Mus musculus: one gene and its partners. The main gene of each other region encodes a partner of the protein of the gene in region 6 in a complex. Links are inferred from orthologs where the notes say so. Each region holds a gene or a part of one and is shown on either strand. Other genes may lie near its edges.

Region 1 (4,496 bases), on a different chromosome or scaffold from region 6:
CAAAAGAACAAGACAAAAATCTATTATTGTTTTATAGACGTTAACACTTTTTTCAAAAATCAGCTAAATAGTAAGGCAATGTGGCACACACCTTTCATTCCAGCACCCAGGAGACAGAGGCAGGTGGATTTCTATGACTCTGAGGTCAGCCTGGTCAACACAGTAAGACCCAATTTCAAAGGGGGTGGGTGTGGGTGTGAATGAAACAAGTAGGTTTTATGGTATGGTTTTATCTTGGGTTGTGAAGGTTAGAGAATTTTTGTCTACTTGACACAAACGTAATTATATCTGGGAAGAGGGAATCTTGAGGAACTGCCTTCATCAGAATCGCTTGGCCACTCTGTAGGAGTATTCTTAATTAATAATTGACTTGGGACAGCCCAGACCACTAAGGGGAGTGTCACCCCAAGGCCTGGGAAGCCATGGGAAGCCAGTAAGCAGCCTTCTTCCAGGATCTCTGAGTTCCTGCCCTGAATACCCTTTATGGCATGGAACTACAACTGCAAGCTGAAATTAGCCCTTTCCTTTTTAGTTTATCTTTGGTCATGGTGTCTTATCACAGAAACAGAAGGCAAATCAAGAGTATTTTTACTGTTTTTTGTTTGTTTGTTTTTAAGATGGGCTCCTTTAGAACTCCTGAACTGAATTGAAGTAATCTTTCTCTGTCACAAAAGTTCTGGGATTGCAGGCATTCCACCATCAGTTCAGAACCAATTTTAAAACTGCTGTTATCTGCGACATTTTCCAGTTTGTGAATATTTTTAACTGTTTTAAAATCAAAAAGTGCCAGAGCAGAAAGTGCGAAGCATAGAGATCCCATTCTAGTCAGTTTATGAGCCATGTGACCTGCAGAGAGTTAACTGTTTTCGTTTACCAGTTCTGCATACTAGTAATCTCTTAAGGAAAGTTGTGAGAATTAACTGAAATATATGTCATAGTTCCTACCATACTAAAAGTACCCAATAAAAGACGGTTTCTCAGGCTGGGGAGATGGCTCAGCCGGTAAGAGCACTGACTGCTCTTTCAAAGGTCCTGAGTTCAAATCCCAGCAACCACATGGTGGCTCACAACCATCTGTAATGAGATCGGACGCCCTCTTCTGGTGTGTCTGAAGTCAGCTACAGTATACTTACATATAATAATAAATAAATTACAAAAAAAAGACACCCCTCCAATCCCCAAGTCCCTGTTTAAAAAAAAAAAAAAAGGTTTCTCTTTAATGTTAAACAACCGGCACTGCAAAACTCAAACACTGCATCATAACCAGTACTTTCTCGACTTTTCTTCAACCTAAAGGTGCCTCTTGCAATCTAAAGATAATAAATTCAAATGGAAAAAATAAAAAGGAGGAGAAGAATGTGCACTTTACTTTGCTGGACAATCGAAAACAGCCCTTTGTTTCAGCCCACAATCTTAGACGCAATTTACTTTCTGGCTTTGCCAGGGAGGAAACCATTCTCTTTAACCCCAATTTTCCTGAAGCTCAGTGAGGTTGCTCAATAAAATTAAATGTCCCTTCTCGGCCACCGTAGCTCAGTTCTCTCCCACCCACCATCCCCACCCCGCACCAGTGCACTTCTATTGGTTGAGCCTATTTGGCGCCAAAGCGAGGAGCTGGTTGCTGGTGTTGTGCGACTCTGAACAATAGAAGTGCCGCGGCCTGGGAACTAGCGACCGTTTGGGGTGACTTGGCAGTTGACGGGACCACGGGACCCGGGCGCGTCCGTCATGTTCTGCGAAAAAGCTATGGAGCTTGTCCGCGAGTTACACCGCGCGCCGGAAGGGCAGCTGCCGGCCTTTAATGTGAGGAGCGGCGGCCGGGAAGGGGCGTGTCGAGGGCCAGGCCTGGGGGCCTAGGGCGGGGCCTCATGCCTTGGGGCGGAGCCTATGCCTGCTGTTGCTTGCTGGAGGTTTTTTTTTTTTTGTTGGTTGCTGGGCTAACTTTATCTCTTTGCTAGATTCCGAGATCGGAAACAAGTTTGAAACGGGGCCAAATCGTAGGAAGAAAAAGACTCATACTTAGGTTACCTGTTGATTTGGTGACTTGCCCCATCTGAGCGTTTCTTGTTTTCGTTTTTTGAGATAAGTCCTCATGTAGTCCAAGCTGGCCTGGAACTCTATTTAAAAAACAAAACAAAACAAAAGAAATTATGAGTATGTGTCTCACTTGCATGAAGGTGCTTCATGGAAGCCAGAAGAGGGTGTGGGTTATAGGTGGGTTGTGGGTGCCAGAGCCATCCCTCCAGATCCACATGCATTTTTATAGCCAGCTTCTTGATGAGCCAGTAGCATCTTAATATAACCCCAGTAGTTCTGGGGATTGCTATGAAGCTGTGTCCCAGCTTCAGCCTTTGTAAACCATAGATTTGCTTTTCTTGTTTGTAGATTTTGCCTCTCCCCCCCATCGCCCCCCCCCCCCCCCCCCCCGCGCCCCATGTATCTGGGTTCATTCGGCTGGCTAGGAGCTGACACGTCATGGAACAGGGCCATGTGGAATCATGTAGAATGCAGTCTTTATTTCTGGCCTCTTTTGCTCAGTATAATGTATTTGAGACTATTCTAATATTCAGTAGTTCAGTAGTTTTATAATGCTTGTTTTTTAAGGATTTATTTTTAAATTTTGTGTGTATGAATGTTCTGCGTGCATGTATATATGTGGCAGCGTGCATGCCTGGTGTCCACAGAGGTCAGAAGAGATCAGTGAATTCTCCTGGAACTGACGGTTATAGACAGTTATGAATCACCATATGGGTGCTAGATGTGTCGAACCTGGGTCCGGTTAAAGGAGCAACCAGTGCCCTTAATCACTGAGCCATCTCTCCAGCCCCTATTGCACTTTTCTTTCTTTCTTTCTTTCTTTCTTTCTTTCTTTCTTTCTTAATCACTGAGCCATCTCTCCAGCCCCTATTGCACTTTTCTTTCTTTCTTTCTTTCTTTCTTTCTTTCTTTCTTTCTTCCTTCCTTCCTTCCTTCCTTCCTTTCTTTCTTTCTTTCTTTCTTTCTTTCTTTCTTTCTAGACTTATTTATTTATTTTACATATGTGACTACACTGATGCTGTCTTCAGACATACAGAAGAAGGCATCAGATTCCATTACAGATGGTTGTGAGCCACCATGTGGTTCCTGGGAATTGAGCTCAGGACCTCTAGAAGAGCAGACAGTGCTCTTAATCTCTGAGCCAATCCCTCCAGCCCCTATTGCACTTTTCCAATGGCTATTTGTTTTATCTTTTAAAAATACACATACAAATATAAACTTGACCGTTTTAACTTAGTGTATGTGCAGTACTAATTACATCCACATTGTTTTCAAACCTTCCTCACTCTTTCCAAACCCATTTCATTACTCCAGCAGAAACTTTGTCACTGTTGAGTAGCACTGCCCAGTCCCCCTTTTCTCACAGGTCCTGATCATCACTTTTCTGTTATATTTATTTACTTATGTGGGTTGTGACATACCATAGCACAGGTGTAGAGGTTAGGGGACAAGAGAGTTGTCCTTCTACTGTGTGAGTTACAGGAGGTCAGCACTCTAGGAAGTAAGTGCCCTTACATGGCGAGCCATCTCACCTGCTCTTATTTTTTAAACGACAGTTTTCATTAAGTTGTCAAAGCTGGCCTCAACCTGAGATATTCCTTCCATTTGCTGGCATTGATTCTAGGCCTGTGCTGCTGTGTCTGGCTACATTGCTTTTCTATGTATGAATTTGCCTTGCCTGGTATTTCAAGTAAGGAGACTCAAACTATAGTCCTTTTGTGTCTGGTGCCTCTGGTTTAATGTGGAGTTTTCAGGATCTATCTATGTTTATCATGTGTCAGTACTCATTCCTTCTCATAGCTGAATTACATTCCATTGGGTGATATACCACATTTGGCTTATCTCTCCATCTGTTGTTGGTCCTTTGAATTATTTTTGCTTTTTGACTATTTTGAATAATTCTGCCCAGTCAGCGTATGCCTATAATTCCAGGATTTGGGGTGCTGAGGCAGGAAATGTAATGTGAGTTTTAGGTCAGCCTGGGTCACATAGTACTAGTAAGACCCTGTCTCAAGAAAACAAATAACAGGGCTGGAGAGATGGCTCAGTGGTTAAGAGCACCGACTGCTTTTCCTAAGGTCCTGAGTTCAAATCCCAGCAACCACATGGTGGCTCACAACCATCCGTAATGAGATCTGACGCCCTCTTCTGGTGCATCTGAAGACAGCTACAGTGTGCTTAGATATAATAATAAATAAATCTTAAAAAAAGAAAACAAATTATGAAACCCTAAAGATAAAAAAAATTCAAACACAACACAATTGTTTGTAAGTTTTTGTGTGAGTTGGCGATTTAGCTCAGCACTAGTGGTGGGAATAACAAAGCAAAAAGAAAGAAAACCCGGGCTTGTGTATAATAACCTAGGAGTGGAGTTGCTGGGTCATATGGTAGTTCTGTTTAACCTTTTTTTTTTTTTTTTGGTGCAGGCACAGAGCTCAAAGGTCTTATGCAAGTAGGAA
Region 2 (3,976 bases), on a different chromosome or scaffold from region 6:
GTTAATTAAAATACCTTAAATTACCCTCTCTTTTCAGAAAGGAGAAGATGAGTATGCCAGTATTGATGCCATTGTTGTATCGGTGGGTGTTGATGAAGAAATTGTGTATGCCAAGTCAACTGCCTTACAGGTAAAATGGCTTACAGCTTTCAGTACTTGGGTCTGGTGCATAGCTCAGTAGTAAAAGATGTGCTTGGTATTTGAGAGGCTCAGTACTTTCTCTCCTGGGATAGTCGGTTACTCAGTCCCATTCCCTGTGTCTGAGGCTCTCACTGGTGCTGTGTTACAGGTGAGTAGATAGTAGAGCATCTGTATCATTGCATAATTTCCATTGGATTGACCACTGAGTAGAACCTAAGGAAGAAAGGAATGAATAGAGAAAATGTATTTAATTGCATATAACAAAAAGAACCAGTGGATTGAATGAAGAATTTTCAGGAACCCAGGTTTTTTCAATTCCCCGATATTCCATTTTGCTTATGATATGAAATAGCTGCTAAAACTCTGGTCATTCTTTCTATACTCTAAGCAGAAATACAGACAAATGAAGACTAGTGACATTCCTATTTTAAAATGGCTTGTGACATAGTGTATCTAAGCATAAACTCTCCCTGGACTCCCTTCATTGCCAAGGAAAGTAAATGAAACACAAAATGTCCAGTTTTGATGTTTTTAACTATGAAATATTTTAAGCATATAAAAGCAGACAGAATGAATGCTCATGTGCACACCATTTAGCCCCCTATTATTCAGCCCCTGATCCAGGTTGGTTTATTTGTATCCACATCAAAGTTACTCCATCCCAAATCGAAACTTAACCTATATATTTATATGTTTATTTGTAATACTTTAGTTACTGTTGTTGTTTTCCATAGACGTGGCTCTTTGGTTATGAACTAACTGATACAATCATGGTCTTCTGTGATGACAAAATCATCTTCATGGCCAGCAAAAAGAAGGTGGAGTTTCTGAAACAGATTGCCAATACTAAAGGCAATGAGAATGCTAATGGAGCCCCTGCCATCACACTGCTTGTCAGAGAGAAGGTTGGGACCAATATATGTTGTTACAAATGTGGGATATAGTATTAAGTGTTGAGCACAAGTGTCTTGGGACATTTAAAATGCATGAGAAAGGATTGCCAGGTATGGCAAAACATGCCTTTAATCCTAGCACTTAGGAAACAAAGGCACACAGATCTCTGAGTTCAAGGCCAGCCTGGTCTACATAGTGAGTTTCTGAGCCAGCCAGGGCAACATAGAGAACCTATGTTAAAGTGGGGAGAAAAGAAAAGTTGTAGTTCTAATTACAGAGCTCTGTCTTCAGTTGGGTAGGAAAATAAGAGCTCTGGAGCTGTTAGCTTGGTGGTAATGGAGTATGAACTGTGGGCTCTGGTAAGCACTACTAATTTACTGACCATGTTCTCAGGTTGTAATTTGTTTCCATTGCAATAACTACTTAGAGCACATAGCCTAGAAATCCTTACAATAACTTAGATATGCTTATTTCTCAGAATTTTTATTTGAGTTTTTTTGTCTCTTCTTAAAGGAAGAGAATACCCTTGTCTTGTCAAAATATGCAAAGGAAATGTCTGTCAGCTTTCAGTATGTGATAATCTGCCATGAAGAAATAGATAGGAGGCTCAGAGAACTCATCCTCCATGGTTTAGATTATTACTCTCTACTTATTAGATAGAAAATAAAAGTCTAATTCTTGAAGTAACATCTCCTTTTCTGTGGCAATGATAGAATGAAAGTAACAAGAGCAGCTTTGACAAAATGATTGACGCTATCAAAGAAAGCAAGAGCGGCAAGAAGATCGGAGTGTTCAGCAAAGACAAGTTCCCTGGAGAGTTCATGAAGAGCTGGAGTGATTGTCTCAACAAGGAGGGCTTTGACAAAGTAAGGCTTCATCCGGAAGCAGCACACTGAAAGGGAGACGGGAGGTGGAGTGGGCTTCCCTTGGAGCAGAGGATTTTCATTTGGGGAAATCCATGTTCGTTCATATTTCATGTCTTTTGGCTAAATAATATTCCAGTTAGTTTTCAGTCAGAAAATAAGTGCGTCAACCACGTTAGACAGCTTATATTGGGTGGTTGAGAAGAATCTCTTGACCAAAATATATTTTGGGGTCATCTTTTCCCTGCCTTCCTGCCTGTCTCCCTTCAGCAATATAATTATGTCTAAAGAGATGAATTTGTTGTAAGTAGTGCATTAGCTTAGTGTCTCATAGAGCACATGTTCTGAGAGAGGTGCTCTAAGTGTAGACTCGGTTTGGGAAGAGCCTGAGCATTCTGAGGAGATAGTGTTACTGGTGGTTCTCAAGGTGTGTGCAACAGCTCTGTGTGTAGTAGAAATGCATCACCTTGCTACAGGTAGACATCAGCGCTGTTGTGGCATACACCATTGCTGTGAAAGAGGACGGTGAGCTCAACCTGATGAAGAAAGCAGCCAGCATCACCTCTGAGGTCTTCAACAAGTTCTTTAAGGAAAGAGTCATGGAAATAGTGGATGCAGATGAGGTAAGGAAAGAGGGGCGCTCTTTTTAGTGGATTGATGAAGCAGCCCTGATCCTGCCTGGCTTGTTTCACTCTTTGTTTTGCTTTTTATTACCTTTGAAGTTGGTAACTGCCATCTCCTTCAAAATAAGTAAACGTGAATGTGGTTTATTGAGGCTGTTATTTTACTCCAACATGGAAACGTGTTTTCAAAACATGGAGAGCTATGAATTCCATGTAAGCACCACATTTCCTTAGTATATTGTTATCTATGTGGTATGTACACCAAAGATTATATCAGCATGTGCTGTGACTTTAGATGACACATTAAATATCATGCACTTCTGTGTACTACCCTCCAGTGAGTGTTACTGTATTCCTACGTACTCTAGAAAGTTCGGCATAGCAAATTGGCTGAGTCTGTGGAAAAGGCCATTGAAGAAAAAAAATACCTAGCTGGGGCAGATCCTTCTACTGTGGAAATGTGTTACCCTCCTATCATTCAGAGTGGTGGCAACTATAATCTCAAGTTCAGTGTGGTGAGGTAAGTGTAGAAACTACATAATATAATAACATGGTTTTTCTTTTGACTTTTTCAAAAAGTCAAAAGAGATAGAATTATTAATCTGATTAAAATATATAGTCTTTCTGTGAATATGTTTCTTTACTTCTTACATTATAGCACTTAATAATATTTTTTCCAAATTATTAAATATGCTAGAAAAGGGGGGCTAAAGAGATAGCCTGGTGCTAAAGAGCTCATACTGCTATTCTCTCATGAGGACCAGAGTTGAAATACCAGCATCACCCTCATCAGGTGGCTCACAAACACCTGTACCAGCTCCAAGGGTCAGAGGCCTCCCTCCTCCTGACCTCATTGGCACATACCTGTAACTAAGATGCTTTTAAATTCTAAAAAAGTCAGGTGTGGCAAACGCTTTTTTAGCATTTGAGAGGCAGGGGCAAGTGGTTCTCTGGATTCAAGGCCAGTCAGAGCTACATAAGGAGATCCTGGGATGGGGGTATAGGTGTGGGAGGGGGTATGCTAGAAAAATATAAAGTAAACTGAAAAAATAAAATAAAAACATTAGATATACATCAGGTAACTTCTTTCTTAATTTTAAGACGTGCTATAAAAGGAGACTGGTTGATGCTGTACCTCAGCAGCAGAGCCCTGCTCTGTTCTTCTCTTTATACCGTGTTCATCGCTCCCTGGTTGTGGATGCTGTGTGCCGATGATACTTTCCTGGATTTGGTGATAAAATGCATTCTTTCTTTGGTTTCTAGTGATAAGAATCATATGCATTTTGGGGCCATTACGTGTGCCATGGGCATTCGCTTTAAATCTTACTGCTCCAACCTTGTTCGCACTCTGATGGTTGACCCCACTCAGGAAGTTCAAGAAAATTACAACTTTTTACTTCAACTTCAAGAGGAGTTGCTAAAGGAATTAAGACATGGTAAGATGACTCAGAAAAG
Region 3 (4,535 bases), on a different chromosome or scaffold from region 6:
CTTTAAATGCCAGTGGGAAGCCTAGAACATGGCTCAGGACGTAAAGCGCTTTATTTTTACCTTAGCTCTGAGGTACTGAGTTCACATCCTTAGACCCCATGTACTAGTTAGACAGGAAGCAAAGAGTCTGCAATAGCAGCATCCTACAGGGACATGGGACGGTGGAGAGACAAAGGAATCCTCAGACACGGGCAAGCTGGCATGCACAGTGGAGAAACAACACAGACATCTTGTGTCAAATGAGGTAGGAAGTGAAGACTGACACCTAAGGTGGTATCTGACCTCCATGTGTTAAAGCATGCACATGCCCACTCTAACCAACACATGAATGTGCACGCATACACAGAACAGTCTATGATAGAGTCGTGTTTAGGTATTGTGAGTTCAGTATGTAAATGACAGGCTGTATGAAATCAAACACACCGTCTGCCTCACAGTGCCCCAGAACCATGGGATTCTACAGCTATAAACACGAATCACAGGTTTGCTTTTACGTGCTGGTTAATGTAGGTTTTAAGTTCTAGAGTAAGGCTACATTCTTTAGGAATGTAGTGCTCTGGCCTGTTTTATCTGGATTCTGAGAATAGTTACTTATGTACATTCAGAGGTTGCTCTCCATCCAGTGTGGCTGCTGGTTTTCCTTCACTGGGCATGAAGGAACTTTGAAAGTAGGTAAGAGAGGAACTAAGTTTAGTTGGCCTTGATTTTTAGATCCGAGGAGGGGAAAAGCCGAAGAAGCACTGAACTATTTAAAATGATAGGATGGGTGGGTCAGTGCAATTAGTTTCCATTGCTGTGTGAGGTGACTGCAGCAGGTGAGTGGCGCTGATTCTGTGCTGCCAAAGATACACATCCTTTGAGATAAAAGGCATTCTTAAAAGTTGTGCTTTGTGTATTTTGATTGATACAGGCTATTCCTGCATGGACTGAGGGATTCATCCCAGATGAAGTCATCTAAGCCTATAGTTGTACTCTGAGTATCACCTTAAAAAACACATTAACCTTTGGGTTGAACATGTCAAGTTTCCCAGTTTTCCTTATTTTGTATGATTGTGTATGATTGTGTGTGTTTGTGTGTGTGTAGGCCAAAAGACAACTTGACAGAGTATGTTCTCTCCTGCCACTGTATGGGTCCCAGAGGTCGTCAGGTATGGCGGCATGCCCTCCAACCCGCTGAGCATCCTCTCCAGCCCGAGCATCCGCTCTCTATTCGGAAAACTTTCGTTGTGTCTTGTACCGTACTCTCATGTATCATTGAGCTGTGCAGGGAACTGGGAGGAAGCGCAGTAGTGGCTGGCACCGGGTGGGGCGTGCCTCCTCTCCAGAAGACGCCACCGCCGTCTCATTTTACTTCGCGGGCGAGAGCGAGGCTGCTTTGCGGCTGCCGTAAAGTGCGGCTGGCCCCGCCCCCGGCGCTTCTCCTGTGACGCAGGCGCCCAGAGTTATTTGGGCGGGAAAAGGCGGCCGGCGGTCCGCTGTCCAGCAGAGCGGCTGTGGCTACAGCTTCCCCGGGTTCGCGGAGCAGCCTCTTCCCTGGCATGGGGCTGCTGGAGCTGTGCGAGCAGGTGTTTGGCACCGCCGACCTCTACCAAGTGCTGGGCGTGCGGCGCGAGGCTTCGGACGGCGAGGTCCGACGCGGCTACCACAAAGTGTCCCTGCAAGTGCACCCCGACCGAGTAGAGGAGGACCAGAAAGAGGACGCCACCCGCCGCTTCCAGGTTTGTGGGCCCGCGTTCGGACTGCTGCCCGGACTTGTGCTCTCGCGGGGCCCCTGCTCCTAGGACAGCGCACTGCTGATCCTCGGCCTGGCATTTTTCAGCTTTTCTAGCTGCCCTGTTTCGGTGGGAGGTTCAGGATGACTTTTGGATACTCTGCTTACAGATCTTGGGAAGAGTCTACGCGGTTCTGAGTGACAAGGAACAGAAAGCAGTGTACGATGAACAGGGGACAGTGGACGAAGACTCTGCTGGCCTCAACCAAGACCGGGACTGGGATGCATATTGGAGATTACTCTTTAAAAAGGTAAAGAGCTTTAGTGGCTTTGACTAATTCTCATCATTCAGTCCACAAGAACAATTCGCGAAGTTAAAGCAATCTTCTTTGTTATTAGATATCGCTAGAGGATATCCAAGCTTTTGAAAAGACATACAAAGGCTCCGAAGAAGAGCTAAACGATATTAAGCAGGCCTATCTGGACTTCAAGGGCGACATGGACCAGATCATGGAGTCTGTACTTTGTGTACAGTACACAGATGAACCCAGGATAAGAAACATCATTCAAAAAGCTATTGAATCCAAAGAGATTCCAGCCTACAGCGCCTTCGTCAAAGAGTCTAAACAAAAGATGAATGCAAGGAAAAGGAGGGTAAGTAGTGTTGTTCCTAGCACATCTCAGCTGCTTCAAAAAAGGGTCTCGCTGTATTCACAGCGACGGAAATAGACTGCTGCGATATGACTGCTTGACCTGCAGCATTGATCTAACTAGATGACCAGGAAGAAAGCCCTGATTACTTTGGTATGTTGTGCTGAAAATGATTCCACTTTATGGACTGTTTGAAGTCACCCTCAAGTGATTCTGAAAAACTTTTCACACGAGGCAGTCCTTGTAGCTTTGCTGTATGGAGCCTGGTTACAAGGCTGTGGGCCTTGTGTGGTTATTGAACAGGTAGAAGATGGCAGTGATTGTGTGCTGTTAAACATGTAGAATGGCGGGGTGGTGCTCCCAGTACTTGAGCACTGAGGAAGCTAACTGAGGATTGCCACTTTTGAGGTCAGGCTGCGCTGTGTGGATCCGTGCTGCATTGGTTGTCTAGTACGTGGGAGGTCCCTAATTCTCCAAAACTGCCCAGAAGAGGGGGAGAAAACAAAAATTAAAAAAAATTCTGTAAATACATATAGTTATTTCACACACACACACACACACACACACACACAAGGGGATGGAGAGATGGCTCAGTGGGCATGTACTCCTCTTACAGAGACCCAAGTTCAACTTTCAGGACCAAGGTTGGGTGTTGTGGCTCACAACCGTCTGTAACTCCAGCTCCCAAAGATTTGACACCTCCGGTTTCCATGTAACCACTGGGTGGTCTCTCCTGTCCCCACTCTGAGGAACACAATTGCCTACACTTGAGGATTGGGACTTGCGGTTGATTCTTCATCCCTTCATCCCTGTCTAACCAGGAAGAGTGGGGATGTTAGCTGAGGAGTTGAAGGAAGCAAACAACCCTGCTTACGCTCTTTGGGAAAGTTACCCCAGACTGCTGGTAAAGCAATGGTTGCTTCGTCTTGGCTTTCACGATTGGAGCTGACTGGAGAGCTGGCAATTTAAGATGTTAGGTGTCTGGTGGGTACTTGAGTTGTCTTTTGTGTGGCTCAAGTGGATGGGCAAAGACCTGGAGCTTTTAGTACAAGAACATGCAGAGAGAAAAACTAACTTTAGTGTTTGGGGTGAGTTTAAGGGCCTGCTTTACAGAGAAGAGACTGCTATGCCTTTTTCATGGCTTGGAGTCACAGCTGTTGCTTGCTAATCATTTTCGCATGTAAAACAGAACAGCTGTATTAGATCAGGATTTTGGTTTGAGAAACTTGGAGTTAGAGGGGAAATGACAGTTTGAAAGCTGTGTAAAGGGATTGAGGAATGCTGAATTTTAAGAGACGATAATAGAACAAAACTTGTTTTTTGTTCTGGAATAACAAGATCCCAATTTATCCTTATTCCCAGTGGTGATTTGGAAATTTTTACAATGAGTTAGGGCCTCACAGTTCTTGCTGTTAGCTGTTGTGGTATTTTGGCAAATTTTGTTAAATGAAGATAGCTTTGAAATCAGGTAAAGAAAGGCTAAAACTGAGTTTGCTAATGTTTTTTTCTGACTACTCAGAAAACATTTTAAATTTGTGTTGTGTGTATTTGCATGTGTTTGTGCCTGCGTTTGTGAGTGCATGAGTGTGGGTGCCCTCAGAGCTGTTGATTCCCTGGAGCTAGAGTGACAGACAACCTGGTGTGGATGCTGCGCATGGCCTCTGGAAGAGCAAGAAGTGCTAACAGCTGGGCCAGCTATCCAGCTCCAGAGAAAGCCTTTAAATCATTGCAGCTCACTAGGCTGCTGTGTACAAAATGGGGTTTCAGATGAAGATCCTGAAGTGCCTGGTACCTGGCATCCGTTTTGACGCTGTCCTTGGCTATGTGACCCTTTGGGTCCCCTAGTAGGTTCCTTTGTGTCATCATATGGTTTGAGATGCTGACGTACTTGTGCTCTAGATTTAGGAAGTAGAATGGGGATAACATAGAAGGACTTCCTGGAGTAAGACTGCTTCCATGAGCAGTTCCTAGACCTCCAGCTCTAGGAAGGGGCTAATGTTGTCTTTAAGGGGTAGAAAAAACGTATTTCTTACTTCTTGATTGCCATGGAGTCTGATAAAAGCTTCTGTCTAGGCTCAGGAAGAGGCTAAAGAAGCAGAGTTGAGCAGAAAGGAGCTGGGACTGGAAGAAGGAGTGGATAACTTGAAAGCACTCATCCAGGTAAAGGTGGCAG
Region 4 (4,541 bases), on a different chromosome or scaffold from region 6:
GGAGATGGCAGAAAGGGTCAATGTCTATGTTCTCAAAGCCTTAAAAGAAATGCACAACATGACAAGATGAGATGGCATGATGGATCAGAAATCTATAAAATCTATAAAAAGGTACAAAAGGGGACATGGAAGATGGCTCAGCACATCCTGCTCTTACAGAGATGGAGAGTTCAATTTCTAGCATCCACATCGGGCAGCTCACAGTTGCCTCTAACTACAGCTCCAGGGGGATGTGACTCCTCTGGCCTCTATAGGCATCTGCACCGATGTACATACATCTATACAGACACACACTGATACATCCAATTAGAATAAATATTTTCATATACAAAAACAACTGGATTAAAGGAAGCCATGGAAATTTTTCATCTCAAAGGGAGAACTATTGTAGAGGGAGGGGCAACTTTTAGGGGTAGAGAGGTAGAGCAGTCCACAAACATCCCAGGGCTGGAAATAAACAGCCCAAGGTTGCCAGGAGGCCAGGACTTGAGTGGCCAAGGTATTAGAAGGTAGGAAGCCAGGTACTTAAAACTAAGTAGCAGAGTAATTAGGCACTGACTTTAATGTAAACTAAAAATAGCAAATGGAAAATTGCAGAACTAAACAATAAGACAACTTAGGAAACAGGTGATGGTGGAACTTACAGTTCCCTGCCTCAGCCTCTAAAGTAGCCGGTATTACACAACTGGAGCACACGGCCCAGCTCACTCTGCCTATAAAGAAAGACTAAGGCAGGTGCAGGGGCATATAATGTGGCAGGAGAACAGAGTTCAAGGCACATATCAAAATCAACATAAGAAACAAAGTATGAAGTCTTATATCGATGAGTGAAATTAGATGTCATAAAAAAAATCTTCAAACCTAATTCTGTGCTGCAGAGGAATTCCAAATACTTTGTGTAGACACTATCTCTCAAACTGGAGCAAGACAGCCTGCTCCTTCAGAGTGGCTATATATAATAACTTCCAAGGAGTATGGCAAACATAACAAACACTACCTCAGCCTGGTGATCAGAATCTACCACAGAGTCGACAACACTAAGTTGGTGTGATGCAGTAAAAATGGAACCTGACCCCTGTGATCTCTCCCAAACCAATAAACCAGTTTGATCATGAGTAAAATATCAAGCAAACCTTATCTGTTATCATAGCCAGAAAACTGTCATTAGATACAACCACAACAAAAAAGCCTGACGATAGCTAAGAAGAACCCAGAGAAATATAATAGCTAAAAATTATTCTTTAATTCTTTTTTTTTTAAAGATGCTAGACTAGAATATTAGGTAAATTAAGAAAATAAGACCCAGCCGGGCGTGGTGGCGCACACCTTTAATCCCAGCAGAGGCAGAGGGAGGCAGAGGCAGGCGGATTTCTGAGTTCAAGGCCAACCTGGTCTACAAAGTGAGTTCCAGGACAGCCAGGACTATACAGAGAAACCCTGTCTCGAAAAACCAAAAAAAGAAAAAAGAAAGAAAAAGAAAAGGAAAAAAGAAAAAGAAAAAAAGACCCAAACTCGGCAGGATATCTTGTTCAGTAGAGTGTAAGAGCTCAACTAAATCCTAGCCATACAGTGGTGACACACACCTTTAATCCCAGCATCAGGGAGGCAGAGGCAAAAGGATTGCTGAGTCTGAGGCCAGCTTGGTATACAGAGCCAGTTTATGTCAGCCAAGGCTACACAGAGAAACTCTGTCTCAAAAACATTAAAAAAACAAAAACAAAAGACTCCTAAATCTTTCTCTATGACAATGGGGAGCCAATAAGTTGACATTTGGGGTAGAACTCTGTGGTAGCATGCTTGCCTGGCATGTGAAACGCTCCAGGATTCACCCCCAGTCCTGGAATATTCTTCAAAAACATGGCGGTCGACTCTGAAGAGTCGACTTACAAAGGACTGTGAGGTTGAGAAGCAGCCCAGGGAGCAAAAATGAGCCTTTCTGTTGTTGAAAAAGTAAAAATGTGGTGTTTTACTTTGAGAAAAAGTACCTAGAAATAGACAGAGACAAAATTGATACCCTTCCAAACAAAACTTAAAGGACCTAACGGGAAATGAAAGTAACCATTGCAAGTTACGCTCTTGGGACAAACTCGTACTTGAAGCCATAGAGTCCAAGGTTCGAATCCCAGTTCACCATTTACTGGAGGACCCTGGCTTTGTTAACCCAGCTTTTGTTAGGTTTATGGGAGGGCAAAAGGCTTAATACGGGAAGCTGCAGTTGCCATTTTTCAGTGCGACACTGAAAATTGTTATGAGCAACCTTTTACCGAGGACTGCCTTGGTTAAGCCAGCACGGACTTACTGTGGAACCCTGGCTGAGGTACTCACTCTTTGTAGAATTGCCTAAGCGAGAAGATGACAATTTATCCCCCCATCACAGACTCCCATCCCCTGATGGACAGTCGGTCCTCGGAAACAGGCTGCAGACACTGTCATAATTGTGCCGAGTGCGCATGACAATCTGCAGTTCCCAGACTTCGAAACTTCAAATAAGTTTTATGGAAACCATGAATAGAACCAAGAGACCCTGAGATGATGGGCTGGAGCCAAAGCCAATGACTTTGGAAAGTTTGAAGACTAAGATCGGTGGCGGGAGAGTCCTCCGAGTGCTGTGCAGCTTCCCGGGACCCCCGAGGACTCCCACCGCCTCCAGATCTTGGAAACCTCTGCCCCGGCCGGGCTCGCCTCACCTGAGGGAGCGGATGGTCCGGCTCGGAGCCCGCGCCCCGCTCCAGGAAGAAGGCTCCCAGGCGCGGCATGGGCGTCTCGACCCGCACCGGCAGCTTCTCCTGCGACATCAGGATGTCGTCCAAAGACAGGAAGTTCTCCTCCGGCCCCAGAGCGCCCGACTCCACTGGGAAATACGCCTCGGACATGGCAGCTCGCAGCACAGTCAGGGATGAGGAGGGCGCGCCACCTCAGCGAACTAGGGCCGGCTTCAAACTCGCTTTCCCGCGCCGCACTCGCCAGACCCGAGCAGTCGATTTCGGCGAGCCTGCGGCCGCTCAGGCAAAAGCAATCAATAAGGTCACAGATTGGGTCCAGTGTCCCCGCCCAATGCGGAAGCCCTGGATGAGTCGGCCGGAAGTCCTCCTGCAGCTTGTAGACTAGGCTGGGGAAGGTATATGAAGCTTGAACATCATTGAAGGGACAGCATGTGTCTGTACTAACGGAACTGTGTTCATGCAGCCTTTAAATACACACATAGAATTTAAAAACATCTTTGGGGATTCAAGTAATATCATTTTACACTATGTATTCCAGCCCTCATTAATCCCGCTTTTATTGCATTTTCACTGGTAGGTTAATTATTGTCTTTGAAAACAACAGAAGAAACTAAAACGCAAGCACTAGTCCAAATGTTTAACTGTGTGCTAAGTTACAAATTATTTGTAGTATTTTGGCCGGGTGTAGGTTCAGGTGGGGTGGGAGTCTAGATGGAGTGGTAGATTTATATATGGCTGGAAGATCTGAAGTTCAGGGCCTTGCTCTACTGTCAACTGGCAAAGTCCTCGTGTGGTGATCAGTTTGGGTTCCTGAAAGAGGAAACTAGACCAGTTTCCTAGTCTTTTCACAGCCACTCTGCAAGCGGGAGCTCCTATATCAAATGCGATCACAGGTAGAGTACCTGAGAACAAAGGAAAGACCACGGTTGCTTGGTTGCTTGGTCCTAGATTTGGCGGTACATACATGAATACAGGTTGAGGCAGATTGTTGCGAGATTTGCTACCGAATTTACCTACTGTAGGAGGGCATTCCTGAGGTAGTGGTTTGTGAGCAACACAGGAAAGGGGGCGAGCATGCCTTTCATCTTTTGTATTCCTTTTTAGTTTTGAATGAAATAATTTGTTAATGTATTTACATAATTCACTACATTTAAGCAATAGCCTTCTAAATATGGACTAGAACTTTACATATGCTAAGCAATAGTCACTTGCTTTTTCTTGCCAAAAACACTTGTATCACATGAATGCTTGAAGTATTTACACCACTTTCTTTACTTTTTATTCCTCTTCTTTTAACAACCATTGCTCTAGTCAGTTTAAGACATTTTATTCCAGACAGCTACTTTAAAAAGTTGCAATAATGTCAAGCATGCTGGCACATGCCTAGAATCCCTGGACTGGGGAAGCCAAGGCAACAGGATCTCAGGGTCGAAACAAGACCAGGTTATAGGGCAAGGCCTTATCTCTAAAACAATTATGACTAATGTGCTTGTTGACAAGAGCGGGTCAGAAGCAGACCCAGGGTGTGAGCTAGGCATGTCCTGTAACTACTGGCAATTTTCTGCATGTACCCAGTTCTTATATACTGCTGCTACCCAATTCACAATGGTTCGACTCACAATCTTTTACTTTACAGTGTTAACAAAAGCTTATTCATATAACCATGCTGTAATTCTCAATACAGTGTTCAATAAATACCACGAGATGTTTCATGTTTTGTTATAAATTAGGCCTTGTGTTAGATGACTTTGCCCAACCATATGTTAATGTGTTGTAAGGCCATTTGAGGCACACTGGGCTAAGTGCTGATATTTTGTA
Region 5 (3,958 bases), on a different chromosome or scaffold from region 6:
TCCTTTGTGTTAAGAACTTCCACTGGGTTAGTGATTTTAACACAGTCCTTGCTGCTCAAGTATGAAGTGTTTGTTGGTTTCTCATCTTCAGATGGTTAGCATTTCGTTAAAGCTGTGACTGAGCCTGGAAGGCCCAGGTCTCTGGAGCCCGCCCACCCGCCCAGGCAGCTGGCTGCGCCTCTGTGAGCTACTTTTGCTTTCCTTGACTGTTGTCTTCAGACGTAAAGAAAAACATGAAGTACAAATGGACCACAGACCTGAGTCTGTCGTACTGGTGAAAGGACTCAACACCTTCAAACTGCTCAATTTTTTGATCAACTGCAAGAGTTTAGTTGCTACCTCAGGTGCACAGGCAGGTCTCCCACCCACTCTCTTATCCCCAATAGCCTTCCGAGGTGCCTCAATGCAAATGCTTAAGGTAAGTGTTTACTTCATCTACATACAGTCCAGCAATTTGTGTTGTTTTTGTAAACCTGGGGTTTCTGTAATCCTGGCTGTCCTGGACATAGACTACTGTGATCTCAAGTTTACAGAGATCCACCTGCCTCTGCCTCCTGAGTGCTGGGATTAAAAGCGTGTGCCACCATTCCTAGCTCAAATTCTCAATTTTTAAAAAATAATTCTAGGGACTCGGGAGATGGCTCAGTATTTAAATATGAGAACTGGCTGCTCTTGCAGAAGACCCAAATTCAGTTCCCTGCACCCACGTGGTGGTCACAGCCATTGGTAACTCAAGTGCCAAGGATTCTGATGCCTTCTTACCCCACGGGTAACAGGCACAACTGGGTGTGCATGCATTTGAGAAAATACAAAATCCAGCACACGGGAGGCAGAGGCAAGCAGATCTCAGTGAGTTAAGGAACAGCAAGGCCTACATAGTAAGACCCGATCTCAAAAAATGTGTGTGTGTATATATATGATAGCATATAAACAAGTTTTCATAATTGTAAACTGTTGTTGCATACTTTGGGCTGTGTGTCGGCACTGAGACTGCGTGGGGGAGGAGGCCTACTAGACAAGCAGCTTGACCAAGTCGCATTCCCAGGAGTTTTGGTTTTGCTTGAGAGCTAGGTGACATGAGTTATATCAAATCCCTTTTACTAATTTTCTGTACCACATGACTTTTTTTTAAATGTTCTGAAGGCACGGAGCAGTAATGTAAAGACACAAGCTCTTTCTGGATACAGAGATAAGTTTAGTTTGGATATCACAGGGCCTGTCATGCCTCATGCATTGCATTCTATGAGCATGCTACTCCGATCTTCACAGAGAGGGTCCTTCTCTGCAGGACTGTATGCACACGAGCCAACTGCAGTTTTCAATGTTGGCCTGTCTCTGGATAAAGAACTGGACAGAGTAAGTAGACCAGTCATACCCTATATCCTCTTGCTGGGGTAAATGTCACTTGTGCCAAATTTATATCGTTTGAAAACAAGTTACAAATTAATATCCACATGGGCATAAGATAAATTTCATGAATTTAGGAAATGCTAAATATGAATTCCTGATTCCTTTGTAGTTTATGGAAACATGATTTACCCCAGCTATTTTTCCCGTTTCTCATGTCTGTGTACATAACTTGCAGTTCTGCATGTGTTTAAGAGCACCCGGGATTGAGCGAGCTCACACGGAGCTGCTCTTCTACCTCAGTCATCAGTGTAGTCTTTTCCTCAAGACCTGAATGTCTGAACGTGGCTAATCTTGCTAGCTGGTCTCTGTGTGCCACCTTCAGACTAATTACAAGTGCAAACCATGTCTGCCCAGCATTCTTGGGCATTCTAGATAGCCTCCAACTCTGGTTATCACACTTGTACAGCAAGTGTTTTAACACTAAACCATCTTCAAGCCTTAGTTACTAATTTATTTTGGATTGTCTTTTTAGACTTTTTTTTTTTAAAGATTTATTTATTATATGTAAATACACTGTAGCTGTCTTCAGACACACCAGAAGAGGGAGTCAGATCTTGTTACGGATGGTTGTGAGCCACCATGTGGTTGCTGGGATTTGAACTCTGGACCTTCGGAAGAGCAGTTGGATGCTCTTACCCACTGAGCCATCTCACCAGCCCTTTTTTAGACTTTTTAAAGATAGTTTACAGTCCTTTAATTGGCACAGTATTTATCAAGCCTAATAGACTAGTTAATTTAGGATTTTCATACTACAGAAATTATTAGGATTATCTTCTAGCTATGATTGACTGAGCCATTTATTGGCAAGTCTTTATGGGGATTATTAAAAACTTGGTGAACCAAGCAAGAGAGATGGGTCAGCAGTTAAGAACACTGACTGCTGCTCTTCCAGAGGTCCCGAGTTCAATTCCCAGCAACTACATGGTGGTTCATAACCATCTGTAATGGGATCTGACGCCCTCTTCTGGTGTGTTTGAAGACAGCTCTGGTGTACTTGTATAAATCTTTTAAAAACAACAAAACCTCGGAGTTCAAGAACTAATGTGCTTTATGGATGTGGACTTGTGTTTTCCCAGAAAGTTGCTCGTGAGGACCTTGCTAATTGTGGGCTGCATCCTAAAACCCTGGAGCAGCTCAGTCAGAGGCCAGTGCTGGGGAAGTCATCCCTGCGGAGTGTGGAAATGAGTGACTACATTTTAAGTTGGAGATCCTGAACACCAAAGTAAGCCTAAAAGGAGTCTGAGGAAAAAGCTTCCTAGCAAGGAAATGCAAGATGCGTAGGCCCCTGGCTTTTAAAGTTCATTCGGAAGAATATATTTTAAAATACTGAAATGTTCCTAAACATTTTTATATTAACTTATTACATGCAATAGCATTAGGTTTTAAATCAAGATTTTGCTTTTATTATTTTCATACATTTTCAGAGATGAAGATGCAAGGAGCTTCCTTAATACCTCAGATAATTCAAATAAGAGTTCTATCCCTGCAACTTATTGTTAACCTGAGTAGAAAAGTCAGTGTTTTATTACAATTGAGAAACAGACTACCTGTAGCAATTATTCCAATGGAGACTAAAGCATCCACATTGTACCTTAGACGAGCAGTGAGTTCTTTCAAGACGTAGGGAAATGAGCATTTTTACTAATGATTTCTAGTTCCTCTGCTCTCACGTATGTTCATCTTCTGTGTCAAGTCAGAGGGGAGGCTACTTTGTACTTCATCTAAGTGCTGGGCCCTCAGCCATGTCAACTTACTACTTAGTATGCTTACAGGTAATCTGTGTTTGCATGTGTGTATAAAATTCAGTATTTTTAAATAAACGTGCATAGAAATCACAAGAATTGGGTAAGAAACAAATAGTGCTTAGTTATATGTGTTCCATAAAAGCCAGAGAATAAGACACAACATTTATTCCAGAGAAGTTTGTATTTGGGCCTTAAGCTTTTGAAAATAAAGTTTAGAGACATAGCATATGAATACCACTGTAATACACATGAATATTCTATCAGACCCTAAAAAATTAACATAAACTTCCTCAGTCAACAAAATAGCGGCTGGGTGCCAATTTTTATTAGATAAGTCGGTTACAGCATTTTTATTTACGTCTATCTAGGTGTAGCTGAAATTCAAAATGCACATCAAAGTAAAACTATATCACAACTGAAGCCATACTAATATGTACTTGGCCTCTGAAGTTGGACTTCCATTTTGACTTCCTTCTTATGACCCAAGTCAAGTGGCTTTAATGGGAATGCAGGACTTAGTACTGATCATGACACAATGTATCACTTTCTTTTCATAATCTCTACAAAAAGGGGGAGATGGTGGCATAGCCCTGTGGAACAGATCTTGCTTCATTGCCTTAATAACACTGGCCCAGTATCTGTCCAGCAGAACCCATTGTGAAATAGTACAAGGTGCACAGCCCTTCACTGATTACAGGCAAGTGTTACAGCAGCCTAGCCGTAAGGAAGGGAAGTTACATCATAGTACAAAATACAGTATAAAAGCGTTATTTAACATTCCACACTGAATATTACTGATGCCC
Region 6 (4,771 bases):
GGGGCTCCATGTGTGATGTCTGGGAGATTTTTACGGCATTTGCTGAGTGATGGAGGTCATCGAATGCCTCTTTCCCTCTGGCAGCAGAGGCAGTTGCTCCTCCATCACTGTGGCCTCTGCATACAGGACAGTGTGGCATCCAGGAAGTCACATGAATGGGGATCGGTCAGGTAGTGTTCCTGGCTTGCACCAGTGCAGGGTATGGACAGCTGTGCCCATCTTGGGAACCTAAAGCATGTTTGGGACACTGGGACCCTCCCTATGTCAATCTCACTCGCTGTTCTGATCTTTCAAAATTACAAACCACACCTCTTTCTATCCCATTACAGTAAAGGGATTACCCACCTGCAGGGTCCTTCCAGGCCTGTGGTGACTCTACCCCTCTCCGTTGTCACCAGGTCTAGCAAGGCCCAGGCTACTTGGACTCTTCACAGAATGTGGCTCTGGTTTATCTTGTCCATGACACCCTGCTAGTAAGGATGGGTAAGCATGGAATGGCAGACCAGTAATGAGAGATTCTATAAAGGAGGAAGATAAGTTGTTTTTTGTTTTTTTTTTTTTTAAGAATTGGGTGCTTGTCATATCATTGGAACTTGTAGGGGCCTAGGGGCTTATGGTGGACACAGTCAGCTTTTCAAAGAACATATCCTATTATGGTGGCATAATATGCTTTCTATTTTTTATTTATTTATTTTTGAGTCTCTGGCATATAGATGCAGTACCTTCCTGCATCGATAGCAGCTCTGGGTACCACAGTGGCATCCAGCAGACAAGAGGGTGTGGATTCCTGTCTCAGAGGTCATACTAGCCCATCTCCCTAAGATACCCTTTAGCACCTTGGGGTATCTCTTGTACTATAAAGCCTGCAGATCCCCCTTTCTGAGCGTCCTTCCTGATTTCCTCTCTGCCCTACACTAGGTTCTGTGTGGGATTATTGATGCTGTGCATACAGCAGAAGTCACATCCTGCCCAGTAGCTGAGAACCAGATGCCTAAGACTGTAGGAACAGTAGCAGGCCTCTCACTGGAAGCACTCAGCCTGTCTCTGCCCACCTCGTCAGGTGGTAGCTACTGATTCATCCTACACCTCGATTTAACAGATCCCTCAGGTGACCTCATGTCAGGACAGAGCTCCAACTCCTAGACAGACTGCTAATCTGCAGTCTGAACTCTCCCACCTTTCCTGGGCATTACAAGCTTTGAACCAAGGGAGTGGTAATCCCTATATACTCCCAGCCTTCGCTGTACTGCATCACGCACCAGGCCCTTTTCACCTGGAACATCCTCCCCATACCTTTGCCAACTGCAGCCAAGTACAATTGATTCCCACTTTGATAAAAGCCCACAGCAGCCTGGGTGCTTGAAGGATTGAACCTCAGTGCTTTGGGAGAGGTTGATGCCAAATCAGGAAGAAATCAGAAAACAAGCTGGGCAGTGGTGGCCCACGCCCTTAATCCCAGCACTTGGGAGGCTGAGGCAGGCAGATTTCTGAGTTCGAGGCCAGCCTGGTCTACAGAGTGAGTTCCAGGACAGCTAGGGCTACACAGAGAAACCCCAGCCTCGAAAAACCAAAAAAAAAAAAAAAAAAGAAATCAGGAAACAGTCTCAGTTGCAACAAGTGGCCATACCGACACTTAGATACCTAGGTCACACTCTAGAAGGCCGGATTGGTCCTCAGAGCCACTAGTGACCCAAAGTCCCGCTTCCTTGCCTTAGCGTGGTAAACGCTGAAGGGTTAAGCCTAGGTGTGCAGGAGGCGAGGGCTCAGCCTTTTGAAAGCTGTGGGCGGGGAGCGGGGCGGGGCTTTCTGGTGTGGGCGTGCCCAAACATTCTAGCCCTCCTTCCGCTCTAGATTGACGAGGACGTAGTGACGTCTGAGTCCTCCCGGCGCTTCCCGGGCATGGGCGGGTCACGTGGTCTAGTTTTCGCGCGAAAACCGGTGGCAGCTGGTGCGGTGGAGCTAGCGCAGACATGGCGGTGAGGAATGGGCTGATCCCGGGCGGGCGGTATTCAGCGATCTCGGCTAGCTTGGCCGGTATCTTCCTCTAGTGGCAGGCTTGAGTGCGGGGCTACCTGCACCAGTCTGGGACGGGTCGTCTCTGCTCTCCTCATGTGTCTCTAGGCCCCGGGTTTACACGCACTTATGGTGGTGAGGCTGCAGGAAATGGAACCCAGAGCCCCGCGCATGTAGGGAAAGCCGGCTACCACGTAGCTGCGTGCATCCCTTCTCTCTTGAGAGTCTCATAGCTGGGCCGGGGAGGCGTATGCCTTTAATCCCAGCACTAGGGGGTTACAGGCAAGCGGGTCTTTGAGTTTTACAGAGTGAGTTCCAGGGCAGCCAAACTGCACAGAGAAACCCTTCCTCAAAAAGAAAGAAAGTAGAAAGGGTCCCACTAAGTAACCCAGGCTGGGGTTGAACTCGCTCTGTAGTGCGGGTTAGCCTTGAACTTGGCGATCATCAGGCTTCAGCCTCTAGGTATTTTGGATTTCATGCCTGTGACATCAGGCCCGGCTTTCCTACTCTGTTTTGTTTTTTTTTTTTTTTTTTTTTTTGGTTTTTTGGTTTTTTGGTTTTTTGGTTTTTTTTTTTTTTTTGGTTTTTTCGAGACAGGGTTTCTCTGTATAGCCCTGGCTATCCTGGAACTCACTTTGTAGACCAGGCTGGCCTCGAACTCGGAAATCTACCTGCCTCTGCCTCCCAAGTGCTGGGATTAAAGGCGTGCACCACCACTGCCTGGCTCGGCTTCCCTACTCTTACTGTTAGCGTTTTCATTAAAGGTTAAAGATCTGTTCTTTCCACCATTCACTTCTAGAATAGTGTTCCTTGATGCCTCTTTTATCTTCACCTCTTGTTTCAGCACCCAGCATATTGTGGGGTTTGGGCTAAGTGGGGTGTGAAAATAGATTATAAACAGGTTTTTAAAAAAAACTACATAGCCCCCGAGGTTTTTCATAAGACAGACATGGACAGATCTGAGGGACTAATATGTCCCTGAGAACAATGCCTAGTGTACAGGAGACAGACTGTGGGAAGGCCCCATGGTAACCAGGAGGCTGTCAGCCTGTGTCCCTCCAGTGTCTGATGGCAGACTTTTTCTCCTACAGGAGTCTTCTGAGTCTCTCTCAGCATCTAGCCCTGCCCGTCAGCGGCGCCGGATCAGTGATCCCCTCACCTCCAGCCCAGGCCGCAGCTCCAGACGTGCTGACGCCCTGACCTCCAGCCCTGGCAGAGACCTCCCCCCATTTGAAGATGAGTCTGAGGGGCTGCTGGGCACAGAGGGGCCCATGGAGGAAGAAGAGGATGGAGAGGAACTCATTGGTGATGGCATGGAGAGGTAGGCTGTGGTTAGGTGGCTTAGCAGAAGGACCCCCCCCCCCCCCCCCCCCCGTGTCTGGTGGCCTGGCCTTGGGGACCCATGAGTGTATGAGCCAACCTGGTGACTTTGCCTTTGTATATGGCTTGGTTGGGATGTGGAGGTTCATCACCCACTGGGAAGATGCATTTAGCTCACTGTATACACCTCAGACTAGACCCTAAAGCCCAGGCAAGCCCCCGCTTAGGAGAAGGGGACCCATAGAGTCTGATCTGAAGAGCCCTGAAGGGTGGCACCAACTCGGAAAGATGGTTCAGTCAGCAAACTTGCACCCAGCCTGCATCAGGCTCTGGGTCACAAGTGTTCAGAGTTGTAAGCAGACATACAGAAGGTGACTGAGGCCGTCAGGAAACTGAGCTTTGCCAGGAGGTAGGGAGATCTCCCTTACCGACACCAGTTATGTGGCCACTTAGGAGGCTTTTGGCACCTTGCTTTTGTACCTTTCCGTAGGGGATATCTGAGGGGTATGAGCCATCACTGGGCTGTCTGCACCATCTGGTTCTTTTCTTTACACACTGCCAGGCTAGGTGTGAAGAGACTGGGTCTGCAGTGAGTGTCCATGGACTGATGGAGTTGATCATCCTGGGCTCAGCAGCAAGGGCTTTCCTGCAGAGTTGCTGGGGGGGCCGCGGGGGGGGGTAGGGGGGCTCCAGGGCCACCTCCTCTTCTTTAAAGTGAGAGACACTTTAGAGATGTCTGAGGACTATCTGACTCAGGGTTTGTATGGAAAGAAACGAAGTTTTATATTATAAGCCTTCAGTGCAAAGACGGTGTGTGCAAGCTTTCTGCAAGCCATTCTCTTCTGCCTGTTGATCCCAGTTTTAATCAAATTACCAGAACTGGAGTCTTGGTGTTCATCCTTTTGTGCCAACATTTTACTCTGGAGTTTTCAAAGTTCAGTCTTTTGTTTGTTTGTTTTTTTCCGACACAGGGTTTCTCTGTGTAGCCCTGGCTGTCCTGGAACTCACTCTGTAGACCAGGCTGGCCTTGAACTCAGAACCACCCCACCCCCGCCTCTGCCTCCCAAGTGCTGGGATTGAAGGTGTGTATTGAGTGTTTTACCACATGCATGCCTATGCCTGTAGAGACCAGAAGAGGGCGTCAGACCCCATGGTTGTGAGCTACCTTGTGGGTGCCGACAACTGAGCCCAGGTTTTCTGCAAGAGCAGCCGGGTCATTTCTTTAAAAGTCTTTTTTTTTTTTTTTTTTTTTTAAATATTTCATTACATTGCTCATTGTGTGTTTGTGTATGGGTGCACATGCCATAGCACACGTGTGGAAGTTCAAGGACAGCTTCTGGAGTTGAAATTTGACCAACCCCAGACTGTGTGGCCTGTTCCGCTGTAGACTAACTAGAATCTCACTGAGTGCGTGTGTTTCCGGTGGACTGAGATCCTT
Region 7 (3,976 bases), on a different chromosome or scaffold from region 6:
TGTCTCCTCCATTGTACTGAGTCTGAAGTCCAGTCGCTTCAGTTCATGGCCCCAGGCTCTGCGGCTCACGGTTGCTTTTTGTACAGTTTCATTAGCCCTCCCGACGGCAGTGCTTCCTTATCTTACGTTGCTGTCTTCCTAAGCTTTGCATTTTCCGTGGATTTGTTCTGTGGAGCTTGTGGTAGCTTTTCTTGATTTCTGTCCTCTGGCATTTGAGTAAATGATTTATTTCTTTCCAAAGTTTTCATTTCTGTCAACACTTCTGGTTTCTGACCTTTTTTTCCTAGTGTCCTATTCTTGTTATAGGAATGTTAATGGTTGCCCAAATCTCTCAGAGCATAATGGAGTCATTTTAAGTTTCATTTGATCTCTAACCATCTGTTTTTATTGGGATCTTCCCCCACCCCCACCCCACCCTCACCCCTCTTCAAGCCATAAGTGGTTCTCAGATAATCTGGTGTTTTGTGTTTAGGAAGCCATGGAATCCTGACTGAGCCCTGGATGTCTGGGTCCAGCTTGCTGGGCACAGATGCTTTGCTTGCAGGCCAGCCTTACTTTCCTAGAGTCTTCATTTAAAATATTCAGAGAGAGTTGGGGGCTGGTGAGATGGCTCAGTGGGTAAGAGCACCCGACTGCTCTTCCAAAGGTCCAGAGTTCAAATCCCAGCAACCACATGGTGGCTCACAACCATCTGTAACGAGATCTGACGCCCTCTTCTGGTGTGTCTGAAGACAGCTACAGTGTACTTACATGTAATAAATAAATCTAAAAATAAATAAATAAATAAAATGGGACAATGTATATGTTAGGCTTTAAAAAAATATATATATATATTCAGAGAGGCATATTCTCTTATCCTTTGAGTGGATGTGGGAAGTCTTTATATTTCCCCCATCCATTGCCTAAGGTACCCTGTTGGAACCCTCCAAGTACCTTCTTGGGTCCTCCTTATGTGATCTCTAGATTCCTGTTTTGTAGCCCAGACTAGCCTCAAATTCACAATTTTCCTGAATGCGGGGATTACAAGTATGTCTCATCATACCCATGTATCTTCTGTCTTTTGATCCTAGAGTCTTTTGACTCTCTTGCTCCATCGCTGTGTTACACTTTTTTAAATTGTTCCTTCCTTTCATGTGAAGAGGAACTCATGGGGGAGAGAAGATACATTTTTACTCCTAAACTCCTTCTTGAACCAGGAATCAAGCAGTCTGTTTGGCCTTGGCATTTTAGCAAGAGTACCCAACAAGCATCACATAAGCCCTGTGTCTGCCCTGTTTCAGGAGTAACCTGGACAAGCTATACCTTGGTCTAGAGCTCGCCAAGAAGCACCTCCAAGCCACACAACAGACCATCGCCAGCTGTCTCTGTACCAACCTCGTCACTTCCCAGGGCCCTTTTCTCTACTGCTCACTCATGGAGGTTAGACTTCCTTACCCGGGCAGTGCCAAGCCACACCCCCTAGTAGCCCCTTCTGATCAGCTGTCTTCCCCTTCCAGGGCACTCCAGATGTCACCCTGTTTTCCAAGCCAGCATCCTTGAGTCTGCTCAGCAGACATCTGCTCAAGTCCTTTGTGTACTCGGTGAGCACTTGGATGGAGTGCGGATGAGGTGGTAACGGCATGGGTACAAGAGGACAGGCGTCATGCTAAGCGCGTGTCAGGGGTGGCCTAGGGTTGCCCACACTGTTGAGCAGCTATGAGGCTGGGTATGCTCCGTATTTGGGGCCATATTTTACCTCACCTCACCTCTAGGAGCCTTCCAGTTTCCTACAAGCTCTAGAATTAGCACTCACTAGTTATGTCGCTCGGATAAGTAGGAGGGGCCCTGGAAAGCTGTGGGGCTGGGGCTTAGGGTCATCTGTGACAAATCAAGAAAAGATGGAGTTAACAAAGGTTTGGATAATGTCTCTGTAGGTTTGTGGCCCTAATAATATCTTTTTTTAGAACACAGTCTAACTCAGTTGGTATTTAGACAGGCCCTAACCCAGCTACTAGAGGACTTCTCTCAGGCATGGATGCAGAAAGGATAGTTGGTGATTTCAGGATGAGGTTTATGAAGAGAATCAGGAAGTTGAAATTTATTCAGGTTTCATCAGTAAAACAATGATGTTAATATTCTGAAGATAATTAATGCTGTCTCCATGGGCTCTGCCTCCTCAGACAGCCAGTCTTTGATCACAGCTATCTCAGGAAGATTGGCTATATAGCTCAGTACTGGAACCTTGACTAATATGTGTGAGGCCCTGGCAGTATATCTGATCCCCAGCACCAAAAAGAATTCCTTTGAGAAACCTGCAAGAAACAAAACATGCAAGTGAAGTGATGTGTCAGCATTGCGTTGGGTAATATAAGTGCTCTAGAGATGATTCAGTGTAGAAGAGGGTATGCAATTATATATAAAACTATATATAAAATTTACACAAGTGATAGTGTCTTCATGAGAAACATGACACTCTTAGATTTGGGTGTCCACAGGGGTCCTGGAACCAATCCCCTGCCACCTGCTAGGAATGATTAAAATGTCAAAAGATGAACCAGACCAAACTAGAACTTTGCAATTCTGTTGGCTTCATTCAGATCTCAGCCTCACGCATCAGTTGTGAGAAGGAATATCTGACCTCTGCACCTCTCTTTCCTTATCTGTAGAAGACAGCCACTTCACAGGTCTAGTCAGTTATCAGACATTGACTTAACACCCACCAAGTGCCCATTTCACATGCTGGGTTACACCTCAGGCCTGTGTAAACCAGGACTGTTAGTTGGTCACTTCAATGGTAGTGTGAGGGGGACCTCAGCCCCTCTGTCCTAACTGTGCAGGAGGTCCCCATGAGACATGAGTGCATGAATGAGTTTCAAACAGAGGCACACACTGGGAGGAAGGAGAACAGACAGGAGTGTTGGGAGTTGTTCCTAGAGACCTGGAGGTGGTGATTGGAGAAAAGCAAGGCTGGGGTACAAAGAGGGTTGAGCCAGTAGATAATTGGATGCTGAGAGCCAAAATATCAAGTTGGAATTTTAGCATACCCTCTAGTGACTGCATCCCTGCAGGCTTTAGGGGTGGCCTAATGCTATCAGAGTTTCTAGGTGCTGAGCAGTGTGCTCCACCCTGCAAGCTGAGAATGACTGTGCTGTGACCAAGAGTGCTCCTGTCTCCATAGACAAAGAATCGACGATGCAAGCTGCTGCCCCTGGTGATGGCTGCCCCGCTGAGCGTGGAACAGGGCACAGTGACCGTGGTGGGCATCCCCCCAGAGACTGATAGCTCGGATAGAAAGAAGTGAGCAGCTTCTACGTGTCCTGGGACAACAAGGCTGAAGGCCCTGGTGTGTCAGCACATTGGCCACCAACTCTGCAGAGCCTAAGTGGCTTTTGCCCTTCACTGTCTGTGTCACTGGGGCCAGGTTGGGAAGGGTCAGTTGTCTGTTGTCTGTGGTCTGTCTCACAGTGTATCTGTTCTGTGCCTTTAGCTTTTTTGGTCGGGCTTTTGAGAAGGCAGCAGAAAGCACCAGCTCTCGGACTCTACACAATTACTTTGACCTCTCAGGTGAGTGTCTCTGCCCAGTGACCACATTTCTGCCTTCACACCTTCCAGGCCAGCATTGGCCCTGGAGGGAGGCAAGCTGGTGATGGAGGTATCCAGCCAGCAATCCACCTTGCCCTTCCAAAACAGCCCTCGGCAAAGCTGCCTTTATAATTCTCACAACTCTTGCTGGGAAGGCACAGGCCTACATGCAGCCTCACTACCCTGCTCTAAAGTCAGTTCCCACCCTGAGGGGCTGACTGTGGTAACTCCAGAGGCCAAGCCAGTCTCCATCATGTACAAAAGGAAACAACACAGCCTGTGGCTGGCAAAGCTGGCACCATGAAGGACCTTACCTGGGGCTCCAGCACTCTACCCTGCAAGACAGTTTTTGCAACTGTTGGGTGAGTCAGAGAGTGGAAAGGCGTAGTCCGGTGACCACCAGAGAGAGCAGCAC

Evidence for each region.
Region 1: Mcm2 (region 6) and Gins1 share a complex: the UniProt entries of both Homo sapiens proteins name them as parts of the CMG helicase complex. The link is inferred for Mus musculus from reciprocal best matches to the Homo sapiens genes MCM2 and GINS1.
Region 2: the proteins of Mcm2 (region 6) and Supt16 are in contact, whole or in part, in a crystal structure (PDB 8YJF), measured with the Homo sapiens proteins. The link is inferred for Mus musculus from reciprocal best matches to the Homo sapiens genes MCM2 and SUPT16H. Residues at the interface, in NP_004517.2 of Homo sapiens: Ile73, Gly74, Asp75, Met77, Tyr81; in NP_009123.1 of Homo sapiens: Gln898, Ser899, Leu900, Asn901, Lys904.
Region 3: the proteins of Mcm2 (region 6) and Dnajc9 are in contact, whole or in part, in a crystal structure (PDB 7CJ0), measured with the Homo sapiens proteins. The link is inferred for Mus musculus from reciprocal best matches to the Homo sapiens genes MCM2 and DNAJC9. Residues at the interface, in NP_004517.2 of Homo sapiens: Glu65, Glu66, Glu67, Asp68, Glu104; in NP_056005.1 of Homo sapiens: Lys185, Arg189, Arg192, Lys244.
Region 4: Mcm2 (region 6) and Gins3 share a complex: the UniProt entries of both Homo sapiens proteins name them as parts of the CMG helicase complex. The link is inferred for Mus musculus from reciprocal best matches to the Homo sapiens genes MCM2 and GINS3.
Region 5: Mcm2 (region 6) and Donson share a complex: the UniProt entries of both Homo sapiens proteins name them as parts of the replisome complex. The link is inferred for Mus musculus from reciprocal best matches to the Homo sapiens genes MCM2 and DONSON.
Region 7: Mcm2 (region 6) and Cdc45 share a complex: the UniProt entries of both Homo sapiens proteins name them as parts of the CMG helicase complex. The link is inferred for Mus musculus from reciprocal best matches to the Homo sapiens genes MCM2 and CDC45.

Annotation. Positions count from the first base shown.
Region 1 is NC_000068.7:150,907,991-150,912,486, forward strand, and holds the start of Gins1 (DNA replication complex GINS protein PSF1), read left to right. Parts: upstream 1-1,603; 5' UTR 1,604-1,728; coding exon 1,729-1,803; intron 1,804-4,496. UniProt on the Homo sapiens protein: Required for correct functioning of the GINS complex, a complex that plays an essential role in the initiation of DNA replication, and progression of DNA replication forks.
Region 2 is NC_000080.6:52,180,082-52,184,057, reverse strand, and holds part of Supt16 (FACT complex subunit SPT16), read left to right. Parts: intron 1-37; coding exon 38-130; intron 131-875; coding exon 876-1,046; intron 1,047-1,748; coding exon 1,749-1,901; intron 1,902-2,374; coding exon 2,375-2,521; intron 2,522-2,889; coding exon 2,890-3,041; intron 3,042-3,784; coding exon 3,785-3,957; intron 3,958-3,976. UniProt on the Homo sapiens protein: Component of the FACT complex, a general chromatin factor that acts to reorganize nucleosomes. The FACT complex is involved in multiple processes that require DNA as a template such as mRNA elongation, DNA replication and DNA repair.
Region 3 is NC_000080.6:20,385,787-20,390,321, reverse strand, and holds the start of Dnajc9 (dnaJ homolog subfamily C member 9), read left to right. Parts: upstream 1-1,411; 5' UTR 1,412-1,538; coding exon 1,539-1,718; intron 1,719-1,881; coding exon 1,882-2,022; intron 2,023-2,110; coding exon 2,111-2,365; intron 2,366-4,435; coding exon 4,436-4,522; intron 4,523-4,535.
Region 4 is NC_000074.6:95,631,930-95,636,470, reverse strand, and holds the start of Gins3 (DNA replication complex GINS protein PSF3), read right to left. Parts: upstream 2,913-4,541; 5' UTR 2,874-2,912; coding exon 2,688-2,873; intron 1-2,687. UniProt on the Homo sapiens protein: Required for correct functioning of the GINS complex, a complex that plays an essential role in the initiation of DNA replication, and progression of DNA replication forks.
Region 5 is NC_000082.6:91,678,555-91,682,512, reverse strand, and holds the end of Donson (protein downstream neighbor of Son), read left to right. Parts: intron 1-219; coding exon 220-418; intron 419-1,143; coding exon 1,144-1,356; intron 1,357-2,486; coding exon 2,487-2,624; 3' UTR 2,625-3,248; downstream 3,249-3,958. UniProt on the Homo sapiens protein: Replisome component that maintains genome stability by protecting stalled or damaged replication forks.
Region 6 is NC_000072.6:88,895,850-88,900,620, reverse strand, and holds the start of Mcm2 (DNA replication licensing factor MCM2), read left to right. Parts: upstream 1-1,840; 5' UTR 1,841-1,970; coding exon 1,971-1,976; intron 1,977-3,104; coding exon 3,105-3,334; intron 3,335-4,771. UniProt on the Homo sapiens protein: Acts as a component of the MCM2-7 complex (MCM complex) which is the replicative helicase essential for 'once per cell cycle' DNA replication initiation and elongation in eukaryotic cells.
Region 7 is NC_000082.6:18,784,373-18,788,348, reverse strand, and holds part of Cdc45 (cell division control protein 45 homolog), read left to right. Parts: intron 1-1,280; coding exon 1,281-1,419; intron 1,420-1,496; coding exon 1,497-1,580; intron 1,581-3,157; coding exon 3,158-3,276; intron 3,277-3,466; coding exon 3,467-3,543; intron 3,544-3,976. UniProt on the Homo sapiens protein: Required for initiation of chromosomal DNA replication. Core component of CDC45-MCM-GINS (CMG) helicase, the molecular machine that unwinds template DNA during replication, and around which the replisome is built.